Drosophila melanogaster: one gene and its partner. The protein of the gene in region 1 purifies or fractionates together with the protein of each later gene. This does not show direct contact. Each region holds a gene or a part of one and is shown in the gene's direction. Other genes may lie near its edges.

Evidence for each region.
Region 2: the proteins of ClpX (region 1) and bsf purify together in Drosophila melanogaster (affinity purification with western blotting, with the first as the bait; one study listed by BioGRID). This does not show direct contact.

What each region holds. Positions count from the first base shown.
Region 1 is NT_033777.3:19,897,447-19,905,673, reverse strand, and holds the start of ClpX (caseinolytic protease chaperone subunit), read left to right. Parts: upstream 1-1,984; 5' UTR 1,985-2,775; coding exon 2,776-2,833; intron 2,834-3,863; coding exon 3,864-5,242; intron 5,243-5,299; coding exon 5,300-5,449; intron 5,450-5,578; coding exon 5,579-5,800; intron 5,801-5,865; coding exon 5,866-6,060; coding exon of another isoform or gene 6,061-6,078; exon of another isoform or gene 6,079-6,346; coding exon 6,347-6,382; 3' UTR 6,383-6,521; exon of another isoform or gene 6,522-7,133; coding exon of another isoform or gene 7,134-7,199; intron 7,200-7,262; coding exon of another isoform or gene 7,263-7,421; intron 7,422-7,479; coding exon of another isoform or gene 7,480-7,929; intron 7,930-8,022; coding exon of another isoform or gene 8,023-8,227. Other genes in the region: RhoGAP92B (Rho GTPase activating protein at 92B), read right to left, coding at 1-43, 314-363; Surf6 (surfeit 6), read left to right, coding at 886-1,051, 1,106-1,914; CG4733 (uncharacterized protein), read right to left, coding at 7,134-7,199, 7,263-7,421, 7,480-7,929, 8,023-8,227.
Region 2 is NT_033779.5:18,448,874-18,456,263, reverse strand, and holds bsf (bicoid stability factor), read left to right. Parts: upstream 1-1,676; 5' UTR 1,677-1,777; coding exon 1,778-1,917; intron 1,918-2,346; coding exon 2,347-2,872; intron 2,873-2,938; coding exon 2,939-4,247; intron 4,248-4,303; coding exon 4,304-6,025; intron 6,026-6,088; coding exon 6,089-6,630; 3' UTR 6,631-6,747; downstream 6,748-7,390. Other genes in the region: Ntf-2r (nuclear transport factor-2-related), read right to left, coding at 1,105-1,497.

The sequences.
Region 1 (8,227 bases):
GATCGCCTCCAGCTCCGAGTCCTTGCTGTCCGACTTGCTCGATCTGCGAATGCGAAAAGGACCATTTTGACACGGGTTTAGCACGGGTTAGGTCATCATCGGCAGTCCACTATTGTTACGGCTGTCATCGCGCTTTGTTATTGATGCAGTTGCTCTGTGGCTGCTTCTCTGCTGCTTTTGTTGTTGTTGCTGCTGCTGCTGTTGCTTCTTTCGTGATGAGGCAACACACACCTGTCTGTCCACCTGGAGCGCACTTACACAAACACACACCCACAGACATCCGACCGACAGACTGGCTGGCCTTTGAACTTACCTTGACAGATTTTCGGCTGCTATTTTGATTTTGGCAAACTGCCTCTTCATCTTGGCTGATTCGCTGGTGCCGCTCGCGTCTCCAACTTGAACTGAACTGCTGTGTGTTTGTTTGCGATGTGCAATTAGCTGGGCATTGAGTAAATACTTAAAACAGGCAAATTAGTCATTCTTCAACGATGTTTTACGGAAAAGTGAGGCGGGTGTGACCGCAGCGGGAGCGCTGGGAAATGACAAAAGGCTGGAGAGCGCCTTTTTCGAAAGTTCGTATTTGGTAACACTGTTTGATAAATGCCTGTTGAGATTTCTCAGAGCTTAGGCTAGAATTATGAATTTAAGCAATGGTTAATTAATGTTTATTAAATTTCAATCTCCTTTAATCTGAAACCATTGCTTAAATTCGCTGAATAGGGGAATACCCCTTACTACTTGTAGCGGTACCAGACATTTGCGCTAGGGTAACCACTGTCGAAAACACCCGAATTCTGTGGGGTCACACTGAACTCGACCGCCTTGCTTAGCTGCACGTGTGCGTGCGTAAATAATAGTTTTATTGTTATTTTACTCTCGAAAATGACCCAGGCGGAGATCGTGAAATGTCTGCGGGAGGAGTATGAAATCGAACACAACAAGGATCAGAAGCCGGAGAAGGAGGACCTGCCCGCCATCACCAAAAAGTTCTATCAGCGAGTCTTGGAACTGCTGACCATTCACAAAGTGCCCTACTCCAAACAAGAAGGTGAAACCATTAATGAAAAGCCTTAAATCTTTAACTTTATCGTATTTCCTACAGATGAGGAGACCTACGAAGAGTACCTGCTGTCGGACACGGAGGAATCGGGAAACAAGAAAAAGAAACAACAGGGAAAACTGAAAAACCAAGACTCCGACGACGAGGATGTAGAGGCACGCATTGCCTCCATCAAGAACAAGCTGCGCCAGAAAAAGGGACCCACAACGGAGCGACAGCAGAAGCGACGCGAATCTAAAAAGCTTAAACGCAGCAAGGGCGTCCAGAAACTGCTCCTCTCCTCGGCCAAAAACCTCAAAAACGAGAACGTCAAGCACCAGAAACTGAAGAATGGCGTGGTGAAATCAGAACAGGAGACGGAGGACAGCAAGGAACAGATCCAGCCGGTCAAGGTGCAACCGGTTTACAACCAGGAGGCCAAGATCGTCTACTCCAAGGTGGACTTTGCCGCCAATCCTGGAGGCAAAGCCAAGAAGTCTCACCAAAACCCCAAGGAGATTCTGAAGAAGCTGCGCGACACCAAGAAGCACCTAACCGAACTGCGCGAACAGGGCGAAACGGACAAGGCGGCGGAGATCCAGACGGACATCGCCTGGCGCAACGCATTCGACAAGGTCGAGGGCAAGAAGGTCAAGGACGACACCAAGCTGCTGCAAAAGGCCATCAAGAAGCGGCGCGTGGAGAAGAAGAAGTCCAAGACCAAGTGGACTGAACGCAAGCAGAAGGTGGAGCACGACAAGGAAAAGAGGCAAAAGAAGCGACAGGAGAACCTGGAGAAGCGCAGCAAGGACAAGAAGAACCGGAAACTAAAGACGGCCAGCAAGAGGGGTCGCATCATACCCGGCTATTAACTATGCTTACTATAGCCCTTAAGTGTAAAGTAGTGTAAATGTATGCCACGTTGAAATTCAACTCAGAATGCTTTAGAAAAAAAGTGATCTTTCTGAAATTTACGTTTTTATACTTTCGTGTTAGAAATTTACTTTTCCGGCCTCGACACAGTCAAAATTCCAGTAGACAGCTAAATTCCCAGTTCCAAGCCACACTATTTGGCTCCTCGTTTTTGTCCACTTTGTGTCACTTTGTGTTCCACTGTGCGTTGCGCGGCTTCACCAAAGATTGGCAAGAAGAAGAACGGCGAACAGCTGAGACCGATAACAACAATCGATTGATATCGTAATCGTTTAGTTGGATTGCTGCGATTTTTCCAGATTTTCCGAGTACTTACAAGAGACAAAAAGTGGATCAGATAATGCTGGAGACCCTAGAAATTTGTGGATCTTTTAATACAGTATAGTGACCGATTTGGCAAGAAGAAGCAGAGCGAGTGGGGCAGCCAAAACAACGAGAATCACACGCACGCACACAGCCACAAAAATTACGTGCAGAGCGCAATCTATTCCCCCCATTTTCCACCGAAAATACAGCAAGGCAGGCGGAAAATCATCCAAATTGCGACGCACTTTGGCGAGCGACGGATAACCAACAAGTGGATATAGAAAAGCAATCCCTGCAAAGCGAGGCATCCCCAGCAGAAGTCACAACAATAACTTTGCAGATCAGCAGAGCAAGAAGAAGAAGCGGCCGCCAGCTGAGTAGCAAATCGGTGCAAAGCAGGGGCGCAGGGGAATCCGAGTCCAGGAGCAACTGCAGCGGGCGCGGAGGAAGCGGTAGACGGAACAGAGGCACAGAGGCGGCGGGCAGCAGCCACCATGAGCATGGTGCGGCGGATTATCCTGCTGGGCCCCAAATACAGTGTGTGGGCAAAGGGTAAGTGCTGTGCCGTCTTGTTGTTGTGCTGCCAATCGCATACGTAACTGCGTCATTAGCCGTGAATCGACAACAACTGGCAATGGCAACTAAAAAACAGCCTGCAGTTTACCAATCTGCATCGTAATCCCAACGCTCCCCCCGCCATTTGGCTTATCAGAATTTTCTAGCTTCGGTGCTCGCTGACACTTGTCTAGTGTCAAACAACCAAAACACTGAATGAAGGTCGTCTTCTTTTGATACCAAAAAGCTGCTGCTCGCGGTCAACGGGCCACAGTGGCGTCGCTGAAAAGGGGTTTCACCCAACTGATTTTACATTCACGCACTCACACGCATCTGATTGGAGGCCACCCCCCTTGCCGTTTCCAATCAGACAAGCGTGGCTCTTGGACCAACTGAACTTGAATTGTTTTATAAGGCCCGAATGGCCAGTTAGCGCAATTACTGCTATTGCCGCTCTGACGCAATGATTTTTTGTTTTATCATTACATGTCTGCAGTGGAGCAATTTCTTACACTTTTTTAATGGCCCACAGTTGGTTATTATATTTGCTGGCCTGCAAGTTAGGAAAGCGAGAGCCGGAAGTTTACCCAACACATTTCACTGAAAAAAACTAGCCGAGATTGTTTTCTACTGTCAAATTCACAGCACCTGTGAATTCCGAGATTAGCCATTATCAATTCCCTGCTTGATTGGCACTACTGCGAAAAAAAGGTGCGAGTCATCTGCGATATCGGAAGATGCTAATTGCCCTTGGCCTCCACTTGTTAGTTTGTTTTTGTGGGCCAATCTAGAGACTCTGTTCCCCGGATTCCCTTTGTTGTTATCAATTGCCTGTGCTTCGGAAAGCATTAACCCCACACATGGGGTCGATGCTTCCATTTTGTCTGCTTTGTGCACGAGACACAATTTAAATCTTTAGAATCCATGCACAGTGGCTAAAGGTCTCAGATGACTTCCAATTTTTATTTAAATTTGTATGCCATTAAAAACAGTTTCCAATACTTATACATGTACTTTCCATATCCAGGAAGCGGAGCTGGTCAAACACATGGCTCGGCAAGATGCGTTATCCTAAGCGCAGGTTCTGCGGAGAACAGCGACTGTGGCGTACGACGCTTTCACCTGGCAACGCGGAACTGCGCGAGGAATCGACTGATGAGACTGGAGCCCGCGATGGCAATACCGGCGTATATTGATGTAACTAACGCACACTCAAGAACGCCAGAGGACTCCAGCGAGAGTGGGAGCGGCAGCGAAGGGGGAGCCAGTGCGTCGGGAGGTAGTGGAGCGAAGAGCCCCGGCGGTGCGGCTGGGTCTGGAGCAAGTTCGACCAGTGGTGCCGATCCGCCAGGCGGTGGCAGTGACAAGTTCCTCTCGTGCCCAAAGTGCGGCAGCGCCTGCACCCAGGTTGAGACCTTTGTCAGCTCGACGCGGTTCGTTAAGTGCGCCAAGTGCAACTACTTCTTCGTGGTGCTCTCGGAGGTGGAGACTAAGCAGCGCACCAAGGACGAGCCCAAAAACCAGCGCAAGCCGCCACCTCCGCCACAGAAAATCATGGAGTATCTGGACAAACACGTGGTGGGCCAAGATTTTGCCAAAAAGGTGCTGGCGGTGGCCGTCTACAATCATTATAAGCGCATCCATCACAATCTGCCGCAACTGCAAAACCAGGGAGCGGGTGCCAGCAATGGAGCCGGTGGCGGCCTAGATGGTATTCCTCGGCCCGATCTTCTACACATCACCGGTATTGGTCACACGCTGAACAGCTCCCCGGGCAACGAACTGCCACCAAAGTCGCCGACTCAAATGGGCATGGGCGGAGGAATGGGAGGACCTGGACTTGGAGCAGGACTAACCGGCGCATCATCTAGCAATGCGCGTGGAGGTGGCGACAACCGGTCCGGATCAGAAATACTTGACCGCCAGTCCACCGATGTCAAACTGGAGAAGAGTAACATTATCATGTTGGGCCCCACGGGATCCGGTAAGACGCTGATCGCCCAGACGATCGCCAAGTGCCTGGATGTGCCCTTCGCCATTTGCGACTGCACCACGTTAACACAGGCGGGCTATGTGGGCGAGGACATCGAAAGCGTAATTTCAAAGCTTCTGCAAGATGCCAACTACAATGTAGAGCGCGCACAGACGGGCATTGTTTTCCTCGACGAGGTGGACAAAATCGGTGCCGTCCCCGGAATCCATCAGCTTCGTGACGTTGGCGGCGAGGGCGTCCAGCAAGGCATGCTGAAAATGCTCGAAGGCACAGTGGTCAACGTGCCGGAGCGTAACTCCCCGCGAAAGCTGCGTGGCGAAACGGTCCAGGTGGACACCACAAATATCCTTTTCGTGGCCTCTGGTGCCTACACAGGACTGGACAGGCTTATCGCACGTCGTCTCAACGAAAAGGTAAGTTAGCGATAGTTACTCAGACTTCGCTTACTAATTGCATCTTAATGCTTCAAGTATTTGGGTTTCGGCATGCCATCGACCAGCGGATCTGGCCGTCGTGCAGCTCAATCAGCCGCCAGTCCCATGGACAACGACCAGGAAGAGCGTGATAAATGCCTGACCAAAGTGCAGGCCCGTGATCTCGTTGAGTTCGGCATGATACCGGTAAGTAATCGGAGGTTCAAATATAACTCCGTAGACATACATTGTAACTATTAACATAATTATAAGCTAGCAGATTTTATTATATTAGTTACTCATTTTGATTATTTTAAAACCCAAATTGTTGTGCAGGAATTCGTTGGACGTTTCCCGGTTATCGTTCCCTTCCACAGTTTGAACGTTAGCATGCTGGTGCGCATCCTAACCGAGCCGCGAAACGCTCTAGTGCCGCAATATAAGGCACTGTTGGGTCTTGATGAGGTGGACCTTACGTTCACCGAGGATGCTGTGAAGTCGATAGCCCAGCTTGCAATGGAAAGGCACACTGGAGCTCGTGGACTGCGCTCTATAATGGTAAGATATTGAATTTGTGAGACACATATGGCATATACCTAAAACATGTTTATAATCCCATCCAGGAACAACTGCTGCTGGATCCCATGTTCATAGTGCCTGGTTCAGACATTCGGGGTGTTCACATAACCGCCGACTATGTTAAAGGCAGCGCCACCCCCGAGTACAGCCGCGATGCAGACGCCGCGGCATCTGGGACTGTTGCCACGGATTCCGATACCACAACCGATAATGATAAGAACTTTGAGAATAGTGAGAAAGTACGACTAAAACAGTAAATCAAACAGAGATACCCACATCCAAAGCCAACCAAAACAGAAATCGAGACAACACTTGAACAAAAGAGAAAACTTTCAATTCGCAACGCTTTCCGAATTGCTTGTTCTTTGCAAACTCTTTTGTCTTCTATCCACTACTGTTCAGCTTGTTAAACTCGTCCAGCTGCTTAATTTCGAATCGTCAGCGCTAATTTCTCGCATAAACACAATTTAATGTTGAACCCTTATGATACTTTCATTTGCCCACTCTAACATGTATATTTTTTAGTCTGGTTTGAATGGTAAATTGATTGGTGCGTCGTAGATCCCTACCTCGAACCTATCACTCTGTAAAATATGAACCGCTGAGGAGTGTATACATTTATAAAGAATGTCCTCAATCCCCAAATGCATCTGTGATTCATAAACGACGAGCAGCGCAGTCTTTTGAGCCCGAAGCAATTGTAAGTGGAACAACAAATCCTAAAGGGATATTTAAATAAATGCCACAGTTTCTTAAACATTATATTACACAAATATCGGAAATCTGCAATGTTGGCAATGATGTGGTCCATTGGCGCTAGGAACCTCTTTTGCATATAACAATTATATATACAAACGTAAACGTATATTTAGGCAAATTTTTGCATAGTCTAAATTGAGTTTCTAAATGAGTTCTTGTAGCGTTGTAAAGATGACAAGCGAGAAGCACGTTCTACCTTTAACTAATTTAAGTTGAAAAAAACATTTTTAAAACAAAAAACAAATAAAAAAAAATGAAAAAATTTAAAGCTGGATGCTAATTTTCTTGAGAAATCGATATGCTTTTTGTACGCCAAGGGTTACTAATGTAAATAACATGGCAAATTTAAATTTTTAGTTTTCGTTCATTTTATTTTATTCATCATTCAAATTCAACTAAGTCTGCAGAACTCATAATAAATAATTTGAATTTATTGCACATAATGGACTAATGGTAGTTCCTTCTTTTTGTTTGTTTTTACGTTTCCTTTTCATCTCGTAGTATATAAATTTGTATAAAAATTTGTAAGTTAATAAATATCTTTTGGCGACCCTTAATCGTTTTCCTCGGATATGAGCAGTTCGTATTCCTGTGCCGCAAACCGATCCCAATCGGAGGTCTGCGAAATAGATAATAACATAATTAATAATTATATTAATTAATTATTCTAAGTACCACTTACATATTCGTCACGCTGTGAGGCAAACGGATCTCGTTGTTCGTGATCTAGATACTTCTCCAGATTGAAGAAGGTATCGAAGAAGACGTGCGTCATTTTGCATCGTTTCAAATCGCCCAGCGTGATACAGTCCCGATTTGCTGGCTTGATCATATCTAGCATCTAATATAAAAAAATTAGATTATCTTCCTTCAATCGGAATTGAATATCCGATCCTCACCTGGCACAGGCAGTCCTCGAAAGGCAGGCACTCAATGCCGATTCCCTCCATCCTTTGCTGCTGCTCCTCGTAGAAGTATTCCAGTTCGTACATGGACAGCACTCCATCTCCGTCGACGTCCATACATCTAAACCAGTACTCGATGGCCGTCGGCGTCCGTTTGTCCTCCTCCGAGAGGATGAACCACACAAAGTCCGTGTAGGACATCTTGGCTTCATCTTCCGGCGCCTTTTTGTTATCGCTGCGCGTTACACATCCCGAGAAGATTCGCTCCACGATGCGCGATGACAGGGCATGATCGCTGTGCTTGGCCAGATCCTCCTGGTTGATCAGCAGGTCGTGGTCCTTGTCCAGTTCCCAAAACTTGCAGTAAATCACGTAGAAGTGCTCGTAGCTAAAGAAGGCCATTATCTGATTGATGTCCTCTTCTTCCTCCAGCAGACTGATCATCTGTGGGCGGGTTTCCAAATGTACATTATGTATTTCACAACAACATTGTTATATTTATATTTTTCAGATATATCATTGATATACTTTTCTCACCTCCAGCAGATCGGATCGTTTTAGTTCGGCTATTGTGATCTTGCCGCTCCAACTGCGGTTTACCGAATAGAAAATGCGCGCGATGACTGTGTGCACGTATCTGGAATGGAACTCGGTGGCTTCCTTGAGAAAGGCCAGGCCGGGGTGTGTGTCGACCACATCCTGCACCATGGGCACCAGGTCCTCGGGCACGATGTACGAACGG
Region 2 (7,390 bases), on another chromosome or scaffold:
AGCAAATGAATCGCACCAAGTGCATCCAATGCACACATACAAAGGGATGGACGAAGGGGGGGGCAGCAATGGCGGAGGGAAGGGGGAGGGCAAGCCGGCCGCTTTTTGCGTGGCAATTTGTTTGTGTGTATTGCAATTTCTGGCTGCACTCTCTCGTTCTCTCTCTCTCTCCTTCTCGTTCTCTCTGTCACACACACACACACACACACACACGGGAATACTTAAGATTTAAGCTACATATTTTTTTTAAAATATATTTCCCCCTTTGTAATGTGCATTTTAATCAATTTTCTCGCTTACCAGTGGCGCAAATAGAGAATGCAACCAGACATCGTTTTTTTTCATTTTTGAGACGGCACACTAGATCGCACCTGTCAAACGCAAGTTATTTCCCCCTGAGGAACACAAGAATCCGTCACAATTTGCAGTGTAGTTACGCACACACATACGCGCTGCCAATACGAGTACACCACAACACGCACACAGCTGCAGCGGGAAGAGGAAGCGCGATTCGCGAACCGCCGTGTGCAACGATACGTTTGCAAATGAAATGCAATTTCCAGTTCCAAATTCGCCACAAAAGAAAGCTACGTCGACGCCGACGTCAACGGCGGCGTCTGCTGCAGAAATGACGCTCCGCAATAGCAGCAAATGAATAGGGAGCATGCAGTTTCTCTTAGTCAGGTGGATTGTTCTCTTTCTTTGCGGTGCATTTACAGCGCACTTTTGGCATTGCAAACACAAAGACAGCTCCGAAAAATTAAGCTAGAATAAAACATGCATCGTATGAAGACTACAAATATTAAAGACTATTGCTTCAAAATTCCAATGTGACCCATTATTTGTGAATTGGGAAAAGATTTGTTTCTATTTTATTTCTCGAAAAAGTTTTCAAAATAAAAGTCCTAAGCTTTTTTTAATTATTTTTTTGTTTGTCTTGTATTAACTTTTGTATTCGCTGACGATCTTGAGACCGTTGGCTGGCTTTGTTTTGCTTTTTTCTGAGTCCCACTGCCGTGCTGTTGTTATCATGTTATCACTATTAGGCGCTGGGCGTCTTTGGATGTCGATTATGTGTGGTGTACATATGGGTCTGGAGTGCTCCTAGGCAGAGTTGTGGATGTTCAGACGGAAGATGTCGTGAGCCACGAAGAGGGATCCTCCGTTGGGCTTCAGCAAAAAGATCTGCGAGAATGCATGTGGGGGATCGTCATCGCATTTTAGTCTTCCAAGGACGATGATCAGAACTCCGCCATCGGAAGTTGGCTGCGAATCCACTGTGGTTATCACTCTGGCAATCTTCTGAAAGCTCAGACTCTGAACTTTTTCCAGAATCTTGGGTGCTCCCTGTATTTGGTTGCCTTCAAAGGTCATGAAAGAGTCGGTAGCGTTATAGAAATTAATCACGTTCTCCCGATTCGCCGGGTCATCGAATATGGCGTAGTACTGCTGGACAAATTCCTTGCCAATGTCCTCGTACTGCAGATTCAGAGACATTTTAGTTCAAGTATATACGGGGTACGATTAGAGTTTCCGATCCGAAAAAAAGCAAATTAAATCGGTTAAGCTGACAGGCTTAGGCACTGTTCAAATATCCTCTCGTTTGTGTCACCGCTAAGCTGATACATTTGATTTGAACGTTTTGGTCCCACCGAAAACAATCGATTGTCGCAGGTAAACATCGATAGGCGCGAAGAGACATCGGTTTCAGCCGCACTCGTGCGAACGTCATTTTAATAATAAGCTCATTTATTAATTAAAACCGAACGATTCCGCCATGGCATCCATCCTGAGGACGGGCAAACTGCTGCGCTACTTCGCCGGCTTCACACGCAATGTGCTGGTGAACTCGGTTCGCGAGAACGAGACGAGCAATCTGCTGAACAATGCGCCCTGCATGTGCGGCCAGTTCCAAAAGTGAGTAAAATCTGGCCCCAAATCGCCGGCATTACGCAATGTGCTCATGTATTTACGTGATTAGTGGGGAATCGTCCACTTTCCAGCGATTGAATCCCGAAAAGAGGCGCACGTGCCGCCACTTGGGATCATCGCAGTTGCATTCGACTGATGTCTCACATATTTACATAACCTCATCCGGATTTGGAGCGCCTACTATGTGCTCATCCAATTTTGGCCTTAGTCGAGCGTTTTTCTTGTAGAAAGTCTAGTTATATATGTAGAAAGAAGCTAAATATCTTATTTTTATTCAAAAAGCAACACGATTATCTTATAACAACTCAGTTTCTCATTAAGGTCAGCCGGAAAATAATCTATAAGGACGTTAGGATTTTGTTAATTCATATATCTTTATATATTAATTAAGTTTATTTTTAATTATCTTCCTAGTGGTTTTGCCACGAATGCGGCGGCCAAAGCTGAGTTGAGTTTGGATAAACAGATTCGCCGGCTGGACCAGGATGTTCGTCGCATTGGGCGCATCTCCAGACGCGATCTGGAGGAGGTGCTCGATGAGATCCGCTCACACAGGACGGCCACCAGCTCGCAATCGCTGCTGGTGATTCGCTGCTGCGGCAACCTGGTACCGGAGGAGCTTCCCGAGGTCAGAACTGCCTTGGTGCAGGAGATCTGGAAGACGCTGAATGCGCTGAATGTACCCATGGACATCTCGCACTACAATGCCCTGCTTCGCGTTTACCTGGAGAACGAGCATGGGTTTGCTCCCACCGATTTTCTGGCAGAGATCGAGGCGAAGGGCATCGAGCCCAATAGGGTGACCTATCAGCGATTGATTGCTCGCTATTGTCAGCAGGGAGACATTGAAGGAGCCACTAGGATTCTGGAATTCATGCGCGCCAAAAGTCTACCCGTCAACGAAAATGTCTTTAATTCACTTATCCTGGGTCACTCGCAGGTTAGTCATACAGAAATAGATAGGTGGTAGCCATGTTTTTAAATTACTTTTTAAACGATTCTTTAGGCCAATGATTTGGAGTCCGCCAAGGGTATCTTGGGAGTGATGATGCAGGCCGGCTTGGAGCCCAGTGCTGACACCTACACCACTCTCCTGTGCGCCTTTGCGCGCCACGGAGACCTGGCTGCCGTAAAGGAAACCCTAGCTGAGTGTGAGCAGAAGGAGATCATTTTGCTGGACAAGGATCTGCTGGACATTGTGTACACTCTTACCGTCAACGGCAATGGTGAACACGTGGATGACGTTCTGACCAAGCTTCGTCTCTCGCCTGGTTTTAATCAGGATGCAGTGAACGTGATCCTTCGGCTGGTCAACAAGGGACACGAGGATGTGGGGCTGAAGCTCCTTCGCGTGATGCCAAGGAGCAGTCGTGTGAACGGTGAGCCCGTTGATGTGGGAGCTTTCTTCATCAGGCAGATGGTTAAGGCCAATCGGCCAGTGGAGAAGATCTTGTCCATCTGCAAGAGCCTGCAATCAGAGGGGCTTAATCCCAAGGCTCTGACTATTGCCACCGAAGCTGGCTTGACCAATGGCGTAATCAATAATGCGCTTCCCTTGCTGCAGGAAATGAAAAATGCTGGCTTGCCCATCAGGCAGCACTACTTCTGGCCTTTGATCTGTTCCGCGGAATCTAATCAAGTCTTGGAAATCGTACGTCGCATGCAGCAGGAGTTCTCAGTTTTCCCCAACTCCGAAACGGTCAGAGATTATGTCATTCCCAACTTGAAGGAAAAGAACTGGGAAAGAATCGTCACCTCTCTGAGGGATGCTGGGGTTCCCAACTCCACTGCTGTCACCTCGGCCGTCTACTCCGCATTAGTGACCCACCAGATTGCCGAAGCAGCCAAGATTATGGAGAAGAACAGAGCTTACTACGTGCCCTTCTTGTTCAAACAACCTTTGATTCTGGCCCTCAGCCATACGAACGATTATGCCTCCTTCATCCGATGTGTCCGCCAAATTCACGAAGGATTGCAATTCAGGCAAGGCAAGGATGAGGAAGTTGAGCAGGTAGAAGGCGTGGCTGCCGTTCCGACGGAGCGCATCACTCCCGATGTTGTAGGTGCAATAGTCCAGGAGGCAACCACCTATTTCCGCCGCGATCGCGGGGCCACGTTGGAGAAAATCCTCAAAGGGTTGGTCAAGCAGGGCTTGTCCATTAGCAGTGACAAAGCCACCCAACTATCCGAGCAGTTGGGTTCCGAACTGACTCCAAAGATTTCCGAACTTCTGGGTAAACTTAGCTCGGGAGAACTGGAGCCAGTTCCTCTTCCAAACAGCGGCAAGAGAAGCCTGGATTCGCTGTCCATCAATGGTAAGTTGTTAGATGTTATTAAAATACTTATCTAATATCTATATATTTTCTTTCAGAACTCGAGCGATTCATTGTGAATGTGGAGGGCAAGGGAGAAAATGCCAACAACATCAAGAGGCAACTCCTCAACGCCTGTTTCCGTTCGCAAAACTTGGAGAAGACCCTCCAGGTCATCGAGAAACTCGAGGCCGAAAAATTCCAAATCCCCGTTGGCATTTATGCCCAGCTCATCGATCTGAACACGCATCACAAGAAAAGCTCTGAGGCCTTAGAAATCTATGGCAAACTTAAAGCAAAGGACGCCACTTTCCAGTTGGATAACTTGAAGGCGGTTCGACTGGCTGATCTTCTCTTGCAAGAGGAACGCGTGGATGCTGCTTTTAAGATACTGGAGGAGAACAAGAAGGAAGTTCCCGTAGCCGAGGCCGAAGGAAGCTATAATTACATGAGCACCGTGTGGAGAATTTTGAACTCACTAGCCGAGGCCGGTCAGCCGGAGAGGCTGCGCAAATTGTTCGACGTACTGGTGGGGGCCAATTATATTGTGCCCACCAATGTGCTGCTGGGTCCACTGATCAAGGTTCACCTGGTCAAGGATGATATTCCCAAGGCAATCGAAGCCTTCGAGGAGATTTGCCAGAAGTATAAGTCCACGCCTTGGAAGAACGAGCTGGCTTGCCGTCTAATACAGAAAGAAGATGCTGCCAATCTGCAAAAGTTAACAGACTTGAGCACTGGAATCCATGGTGAAGTAAACAGCCTTTACGATCTGGTCTTCTCCTTTGTGGAGTGCGGCCGTGTGCGGCAGGCCAGGAAGATCCTGGAAACCCCCGGACTGCGTACCCGTCCGCAAAGAATAAACAGTGCCTGTGATCGTTACAAGAATGAGGGACTACTGCAACCGCTGGAAGGTCTTATTGAAGCCACGAAGGACCTGGGACATATCGACAGGAATAAGATTTACTACACGCTCCTCTTGAGCTACGACAAGGCAGATGAGGCGGAGAAGGCTTTGGGACTGTGGACTAAAATGCAGGAGGAGAATGTGACACCAAACGATGCTTTCCTTTTGAAATTGGCAGAAATCCTGAGTAAGAAAAATATTGACGTGCCTTTTGTGGTGCCAGAGACCCAAAACGAACAAGCCAAGGCCAAAAAAAGCAAAGCGAAAGATGCAACGACAACAGAAGCAGCCACAGAAACAGCTAAAGTAGCAGAACAGCCCAAGGAGAAGGCTGCGAAAAAGGAGCCAGCTAAAACGGAAACAGCAAAGCCACCCAAAACCGCCTCCCATTTGTCCGGCTTCCGCAAGGCAATCCAGGCCAATGATCCAGATGCAGCCATCTCGCATAAACAAAGTGTTCTGAGTGGCGAGAAAATTGGAGCTTTGGACACCTCTCGACTGATCGAGCTCCTGGTTCGAGCTGATCGCTTAACGGAGGCCACCAAGTATGTCGAGGAGCTCCTGGGCGATAAACTGCACCCGCAGCCCAAGATCTTCAAGTTTTACCTGAACAAAATTGCCGCTGCAGGCGATCTGGAAACAATGCAGAGAATTGGCCAGCAGCTGAATGACGAGCAGAAGCGTCTGATTTCCTTTGACAATCGGTTTTGTCATGCCAATATAGTGGCCGGAAAGGCGGAGGAGTTCCTGAAGCACTTGACCACAGAAATCGATGCGGCCAAAACTCCCGAGGAGTCAACCAAGCTGGCTGAGAAGTTCCCACGCGGAGGAGCAGTTGGCATTTTGGAAAAACACCCGGAATTGGTGCCGCAATGTAGGTCCCAGAAATGCCTATTAAACAAGTGTTAAAACTATAAATTTTTCTGATAATTTTCAGATCAATCCCTCGCTGAGAAGTTTGCTGCTCACAATCAACTAGGACCCATGAATGTCCTGTGGATGCATTTGATTTCCACTGGCCAGGAGGCGGCTTCTAAGGAGATTTGGGATAAGCACCTGTCCAATGCCCCAAGGCTGATGTTCCAGCGCGTTTTGCAGACGGCTCGCGAGCAGCAGGACGAGAAGCTCGCCTCCACAGTCATTTCCCAGCTGAAGAACAGCAAAATCTCCGAGGGCGCGATCGGAAACGCGTACTCCTGCCTCATTGACATCCAGACTACCAAGGGCAACTCCGACAAGGCCATGGTTGTCTTGGCCAATGCCATTAAGGACGTATCCTTGGAAAACATCAACAGGACAGCTCTGCTGCGTCTGAAACAGGCGGTGGAGGAGAAATCCCAGAAGTTCCCCTACACGATCCCCGAGAAGCGGACGAAGGCCGACGACTCCAGCTCGTCCTCCTCTTCATCCTCCAGCGACGACGACGTGTCGCCATCGGTACCGGAAACTGTTCCACCCAAACCGGACAGCAAGGCCTAGAGGTTTCTGCAAAAGGTCCTTGTTTAGTGTAGGCCGTCGTGATTAAAGCTTATTTTTAAAGTATTTACTATGGATAAACAATTTGTAAACTAAAATAAATTTAGTTGTTTTGTTGCGAAAGTGCGCCAGTTATTTTTCTAGGGGATTCAACTGAGCGATAAAGGATCTTTTTTACTATTTTCAAGATGAAGCTATCATTTTTAATTTTCAATAAAATAATGGTTCAATTCATTCCCTTAAGACAGATCCTAAAATTAATTGGAAGCACGCATGATGTTGTAAAACACGATTGCCCGTTTTGGAGCCCAAAAATCGCTAAAAAAAAAAAGTTTCGTTTCAAATTTAATGTTCTTGTTCCATATCCTTGTTCCATTTTCGAGCTGATATTCGAAATTTCTGCAGTGCAATGAACCAAATATGTTATAACAAATATATTACACTGTTTTAGTCGTAAAAAAATCGTTGCCCTTAAATATTGAGGTTCGCTGTGCTATAAAATTTACGATAGTGCCATATTATAAAATTAATTTTAAAATATCATTTTTTCTAATGTGGAACTTGAATTTAAATTTTCAGTTCAATTTAAAAAACACATTTAGCATTTCTATAGCTGACTATCGAAACTACAATTTCGATACGATTTAGCAGTCAAACACATGTGTATATCGATACCGTCGCCACTGGTGTCCCATCTCTAATTCTATCGCCGCGTTGTGTTTTTTGCTGCCCAATAATTTTCATCGTTGTTTTCCCTGAAAAT